Linked DNA regions of Drosophila melanogaster. The protein of the gene in region 2 interacts with the protein of the main gene of each other region in a pairwise test. Each region holds a gene or a part of one and is shown on either strand. Other genes may lie near its edges.

The links. The genes of interacting proteins can lie anywhere in the genome.
Region 1: the proteins of CG32204 (region 2) and CG10311 interact in a two-hybrid assay, tested with the Drosophila melanogaster proteins (one large-scale study listed by BioGRID).

What each region holds. Positions count from the first base shown.
Region 1 is NT_033777.3:16,355,274-16,359,029, reverse strand, and holds the start of CG10311 (uncharacterized protein), read left to right. Parts: upstream 1-2,014; 5' UTR 2,015-2,230; intron 2,231-3,756. Other genes in the region: CG17931 (uncharacterized protein), read left to right, coding at 242-347, 419-488.
Region 2 is NT_037436.4:18,944,063-18,947,818, reverse strand, and holds the start of CG32204 (uncharacterized protein), read left to right. Parts: upstream 1-1,780; 5' UTR 1,781-2,086; intron 2,087-3,756.

The DNA of each region.
Region 1 (3,756 bases), on a different chromosome or scaffold from region 2:
AATTAACTAGGATTACCTCCAGTGTCATGCAAAATCGTAATCTCCAAAATATGATAAGAGAATTAGAATTTCGACCCGAAAGTAATCCTGGGTTTTCGCGTATAGAGCAGGCAAAAATCGATGGACAAGCAGAGGACATGTGAACGCCTCTAACCTCTCATAGATTATGTAGATCACATTTAGCACGCGCCACTAACCAGCTGCCACGTATTAACCAATTATAATATCACCAATTTAATAGGCGGCAACCAACGAGACCTGGCCCGCCAGAAGAACCAGAAGAAGCAGGCGGATTTGACCAAGGGAAAGCGAACCGATAACCTCACCGTGGAGCAAAGGAAGGCCAGGTGAGTGATTTACATTTTCAATGTATAATGTATAAGATATAATATTATTAATAAACCAACCCATAACGCAGGGACGCTGAGTTAATGCGGGAGAAGCAGAAAAAAAAGGAAGAGGCCGCTGCGGCGGGCACAAGCAAATAGTCAACCCACTGGCTTGATAGAGATCTGGACTCCCGGTTGCATTTCCGGACAGGTTAGGCTTATAGTCAGTCGTTCGTCAGCCAAGACCCCGATTCGCCCAAGGACCTAGGATAGTTGGTTAGAATGTACATGAAGCAACATACATAATTCACGAGAATTGTATACAACTACGCATAGATATTACCGGGCTGTACAGCACGCGACATAGCAATAGCAATAGCAAGTGCCACCCAAGGACTTCGATTCTGTTCCGGTTTTTGTTCATTTTCGTTTGCAGTGCTGCTGTACGATAATTAAGTAATCTTACATTTTATTTCTCCACCTACCTGACTAAATTATTTACTGTAATGTATATATATAAATTTTCAAATAAAACATAATATGCAGCCGACAGAAAGACTCAATTATGTGTTATTGTGTTTGACGAAAATATATATATAGATTATGGCACTCGATAACGGTCGATTGCTACCGAAAATTAACTTTAACTAATGAATCCCTTTTCTAGCAAATATGGTCGCCGAAGAGAGAGATATAAAGATTGATAATCCCAGAGCAATCCCCATAAGTATAGCTCAAGAATGTTAAATATAAGCCTTAGATCTTTAAAATCGGAGTATGAATAGGGCGCTGGATACGACCTACTAAACTTCCTGGTCTGATTTAAGCATGACCTAATGAGGTATTTAATTTGCCTCGAGTCATGCTGAAATTTGCATACAATGGAATATGGATATTTGTAAATGGCACGATTTGATAAATATGAAAGTAGCTGCATGCCAAAGCTTGCCCCACAAAACTATCGCCTAGATGCCAATAAGTCGATTGCTAGCATTTACCTTTTACAGAATAAATGACCAAAAACCTGGCCACTAACGACTGGCAGATGCACACAAAAAACATGCTGCTAAATAAAATTTCAGTTTTAGTTTAATTTTATTTTATTTATGTATAAGAAAAGATATCAAGAAACAACAACGAATTTTGCGCAAGACTGGTAAACTAAGTCATTGAAACTTAAATACTGTGACTTTTATCTTTTGGAATACCTATCTGTTTTCGAATAGATCTTCATACATTGTGCCACAGTGCACGGTCTTATTCATGGCCAATAAAGGCAGATGGGGTCATGGCGTGCTGATGTATCTTCGGCTGAAATCTCGAGTTCCTTCAACGAGGAAAACAACACGGATGTAATGAGAACGTCCACTGATTTGTTTGACTTGGCTAGTGCAATGCGCTGTAGAAGATCGCCTCACCATTGTTTGACCAAGTGCTTGATATCTTCATGCCGGAACAGCAGAGCAACGTGGGCCATCGAAACGCCTAACTGGTTTCTGCTGTTTCTGCCTCGGAGAAAGCTTCTTGCCGGTCACGCAAAAGCTGTCTTAACTAAAAACAGCGTCCAAGTTTTGAGAACTTTTCAGCCAGCTAGCCGAGAACGAGCGGAAAAATCAACTAACGCTCGCAGATGTGAAAAATCGCGATCGCGAGTCGGCTCTCACGTTGGCGGCAGCAGCCCGCGTTTTCAGTCGCTCCGTGAAACCCGTCGCACTCACATCGAAATCGCGCGCAAGTCGTCGGATCCAAATCGCCTCGAAACGCTACGCACTTGGAGGAGGCAAATATCAAATATATGAGAATAATTAGTTAGGAGGCAGCCGAATCAGCGGAATCAAATCGATTTCCCTCGACTGCATTTAGCAGTGCTGCACCATCAAATCAAAAATAAATTAGAAAGTGTAAGTGAATATATGGCTGGCTGCCAGGAGACTGACATTATCAGCGGAGAAATGCAGGCAGTTGGCAGCCGATTGGGCGGATCGGGAGATCAATCGATCGCCGTCGCATGCAAATCGAGTGATAAACGATCGCCTCGAAATTGAAATAACAGGCGAGCAGCTGGCCCCCGGAGGTGGATACATATGCATATGTGTGATCAAACAGAAGTGTTTCTCGGGGAAGGGCGGCGTGAGGAGTGGGAGGAGTAGGTAGCCCCCAGTAGCCATATACTCATATACCTATCTATACTATACAGCCAGTTACCCGACTTGAGGCGCGCTCGTCTGCCTTGCGGTTGTATGTGCTTATTTATACAAAATATATTCAATTTCATTAAGCTGTCGCTGCTGGCTGGCCGTCCAGTAATTTCAATATTCAAATGATCGCTGATAGCTAAACCCCCTGACTTTTTTACTTTTCTGAGCGCCCGCAAAAGCTGCGGTAAAATTGAGAAAACCGCAGCGTATAAATAATTGGAAAACAATAATGCCACTGTTTGATCGCTGACCCAAATTGGCAGAGAAAATGAATGCATCTTAATGAAAACAGAGTCAGTCTGTTTGCTGCAGGCATAGCGATCTATATAGTCGATGCACTCGGTGATGTCAGAATTGCGAACTGACATTGAAAGTCTGCGAACGGCGACAACCTGAAAGCCTTCTTCTTTGCCTTTTTGGGGACCTCAAGTTGAACACGTTGCGAGTTTAGGGATAAGTGGGCCATCCAGCCCAGTGTTCAGGTGTGCGGGGGCGTATACGTAATATGCGCGCCTGGCATACATTTCAACTGAGCCACATTTTGGCTATTCGCCTCAGTCGCGAACCATAAAAATCACATCAAAGCCCCAAATGAAAGCGTCGTTCATTGAATCTTAAGTGGCCACTCCTCCTGGGAAGTAATTATAAAGGGAAATAAACGGTCTTCAAGACAAAACTGTTTCTAATCCATCCACATTTGGCAAAGTTCAGTGACGCGCATCCACTTGGAAGCAGTGAAAAATGAACAATGTGAAGGTTACTCAATTTACAAGGCAACAGATAACGCCACCAAATTTTATTTGACAAAAAATATTCTGGCAGAACAAGCCAAGGCGTTCGCACACCTACGCCATACGAGATGGCACATGGGCGTAGAATTCTCGACGAACAGGTGTTGAAAATCATAAGGTGGAGTCCCATTCCTGACCCCAGACAGCCACTGATCAGAGATTGTGAGAGCTGTTCCAAAAGTTCCACCGCTTTTGTCGACTCTCTAGATTTCTAGTTGCTCGCGACCTTGTGATCTATTAATAAGTGTTTCGTGTTTTTATATATGAATCATTTTGATGGGCGATCTGTTTATGAGTTAACTTTCGTTTGGCTGGGAAAACGAAAAGCCCAAAATCCGAAAGATCCCCGAAAATTGAGTTTTTGATCGCGTCCAATGTCGCGGCTTCATTGACCCTGAAAACTATGTAGTGTCGACAGAACGAAAAGTATCTCATGGA
Region 2 (3,756 bases):
CGTCTCAAATGGCAGACCCGAAACCCATTCAGATCAAGAATTTACACCCAAGTTGAATATGTCGAATTGGGGATACCCAGTGATTGGAAATCATTTGAATACGCTGGTAGTTAGTAGCACTGCATCCAACAGATACAAACTTGCTTGCAACTTGTTGTAAATAATTAATGAAGATTATTAATATACTAAGTAACAATCCAACGGATGCCTGATTACCACATTAGTGAGAGACCCATAAAGATTACAGATTGAGGGGTATCCCACAACCCGTGGCCCGAAACCCGCATCGGCAGCCCTTTTTTGCATGGTGCGCTCCACTTGGGGCGCAGTGTGGCGTAAAATGAATTGAGACATTCGGGCTCGCATAGAAAAACCCGGATCCTCCGGCCGAAAACCGCAGAGGTTCGGAGGTCCTTCAACAACAACTTCTGTGCTCTGCAGCGCCCTGAATGCAAAAGTGGCAAAAGTGGCAAAAGTTTTGCACCACTCGGCCGATGAACCACTTGAGCCCCCCACTTTGTTGTGCATTCAGGTGTGAAGTTTTTGGTCGGCGCACAAAAGTATGCTACAAATAATTAAATCATGCAAGGCAATTGCTGGAGTGTGTTTGTGTGGAAAGAGAGAGAGAGAGAGCGCGAGAGGGAGATGAAGAGACCGGAAACACTCGCTCCTTCTCCCTCGCGGCGAGACAAGTTCAATGCCGCCTTAAGGTCCTTGTCAGCCTGCCATCTAGTTTGATATTATCTAATCGATATTTATATTCCTAGCTCGCTGCCACCGCTCCTCCCGACCTTTCATATTCCTCCCTCGTCTGTTTTTCACGAATTGGAATTTGCATATGACACAGGAGCTGTGGACCCACAAAAACAAGGAGGCGAAAGCCTGTAAGAACATTGGAACGAGGCCGAAACGAAATCGCCAGTGGCAAAACACGCTGGCCTCTTCCATCACGCTGGTTTACTTTTTGCGATGGCCGGCATTTCCGCTTCCGCTCAAAATGCACACCGAAACGTTCAATTACGGAGCCAGAGAGAAAGTTCAACTTTAATAATTTGTTTTTTGTAAGTGAACTGTACGTTTTCCGGCACACTCTGAATCCAGTTTTTTTTTTCGAAAAAAAACAATGTTATTGGAAGTAGTAACATCAATATAATTCCATTTTTGAAAACTTTTATTATGTAGATAAATAGAGAACTATAAAAAACAGATAGCCAACTCGTACTTTAAATTTTTTTCGTGCTTTATATTACTCTTACCAGATAATTTAACAAAACCCTTGCTATAAAACAAAGGAAAGACCACGAAAAGCAACCATATGGAACCGTCAGAAACCAAAACTCACGTCGAGATAAATTGAAGTTTATTTGCTCGACTGCTTGCGGCTGCTGCACTTTTTCCAACTTTTCTTCTCCTGTTTTTGGCAGACACTATTTGCTCTTCTCACCTGCATAATTTATAAGCTAGAAATCATTTGCATGCAGTTTCCTTGCACTTTGTTTGCCTCCGTTTTCCGATTTTCCTTATTTTTTTTTTGAACAGGAAGCGTGGAACACAAGCTGCCAAGAATGTGAAATGTTTGTGTTTGACTTTGGCTTCGATATGTTGCACTTAAAACAATTGACGGCAAACAGGGGGAAGGTATCCTGTGATTTGGTCTAAACATGAAAACTGGTCAAAATGTATCTCTTCCGTTCGTTTTCCGACGCTCTCGCCAGAGGAAAGCTCTTCGGGAAAAGCTCCACTCGGATTTTCCTTATAAACGTAGAGCACTGATAAAAACTCGAGCAGTTACCGTTTCGGTCGCGTAACGACAGCAGCAAAATCCGAGAGCTGCGTTCGTCATTAAAGCCAAAACAATCAAAAACAACAAGACCGAATATATGAAAGTAACAGTTCAGAAAACAGACGAAATTCTCACCGCAACTCGCCGGTAAAAAGTGGGAATAAACAAATTGGATATACAATTAATTTTGCGCGGAGAAAAAAACTGAGCGAAGCAAACAGAAAGTGTTTTGTTAGTGCAAAGTGTGAAACTCAAATAAACTTTACAATTGGTGAATTAATAAACCGAAGCTCCACAAATGAGGTAAGTCAAAAGAAGCGTAAAAAGAGCTATAGAAGCTGAGTCAAATTAAAAAACCCCAGAGGAAATGCGCTAATTAGGAAGGTAACAAATGCTGAAAGAAGAAAAAGTTTTAATGTGCCATGAGATAAAATTAAGCAGATGGCAGCTTAAAAGTAAAAGTGGTAGGACCTATAAATGTTCAAGGATTAATCCACAACATATTTACTAAACAAATGCAACAAATAAGCCTAGCTAAATAGTCCTTAGTTTTTTACAGTTTTAATCTAAGGTCTTCAGCAACTGTTATTCACTTCAAAATCACTTTCATTTACTCTTCAAAATATACAAGTGCAAAATACCTTTTCATTTAAAAGTTGATATTCATGCACTTCAGCCCCTAACACTCGTTCAAAATTCTGCGAAGCGTACCGAAATCACATACAGAAATCACTCAAAAAATGTTTTATTTCGTCTGCCTCCATTTCACAAAAAAAAAAACGGTATAAAATCCCAGGGGGAAGTGGCAATTTAACGGCAGTTTGTACCCAGACAACCTTTAAAGCCCTGTTTCGACTGCCTTTAGCCCGCTCCGAAATGGGTCTTTTGAGTTTTGCAGCTACTGTTGGCCTGGTGGAACGTATGGGCTTAAGTTAAGCACGCAGGACCAAGGTTGGGATAAAAAATAAATTTGGAGCACGAAAAGTAAAAGCGATGCTCAAGTGGCACGGCGCTTAACACAAATTAGACGCACTTAATTACGGCCCAAACAGTCGCAGCTAGCGGTCGTAAAATGTATAAAAAATATTATTGGAACCACAACCGAGCCAACATCAGGCAAATATATTTAAGCAGTTCACCAGAGAGAGAGTGGTTTAAGAAGTGGCTGTGGGTCTGCAGGAGGGTACTTTCAATTTCGGGCATTCAGAAGTTGCGGCTTAAAACTCAATTAAACGAATTGGCAAAAATTTAATTACAATTTCAGTTTCCTTTTCGTTTTTAAAGGAGATCACCAAGGACCCTTCGCACAGAAAAAGAGCCAGGGAAAAAGAGGATGGGCGATGCGGAATGGGGCTGAATGGATGCTAGATAGACAAGGCAGCGGGCAAATTGTTTTGCCAGCTGCTGGCAAAGTTCATAAAAAACTAATAGTAATGCAAACTGAAAACAATTAACTGCGTTTATGAGAGGGAAATGACTCAAGCTCGAAATGCTTGGGATTAAAGAGAAACTTTGATAATAAAGCCATCGTCTTATGAAATATATAATTAATATGTATTATTATAAAAACAAACTTTGATTGTCATATTAACTTCAAAGAAAATGTGAATGCAAATTTCACAATTCTATATGCACACTGCCAATCTAAAATCTAAAAGCTAATGGTATTTAATATAAAAAGTTTGAACTTTAGAAAACATACAATAAGAGCTCGTTGAAATGTTCTTGTATCGAAATAAATAGTAGCTAATTACATATTTAAATTTCGAAAACTTACAAGTCTGCCCACCCATATTGGCCAACCAAAGTTTTCCCGCCCGAAGCTCAACCCTTCCGCTAATGCCAACAACTTCGGGAACAACAACAGCCATTTCCTGTTCCTCTGGGCCCCAAGTTAGCCACGTTTTATCTGCCGAACAATAGGCTCATTAGTGGAACAGGCCACACCAACGAAAATGCGCCACGCCTCTTGG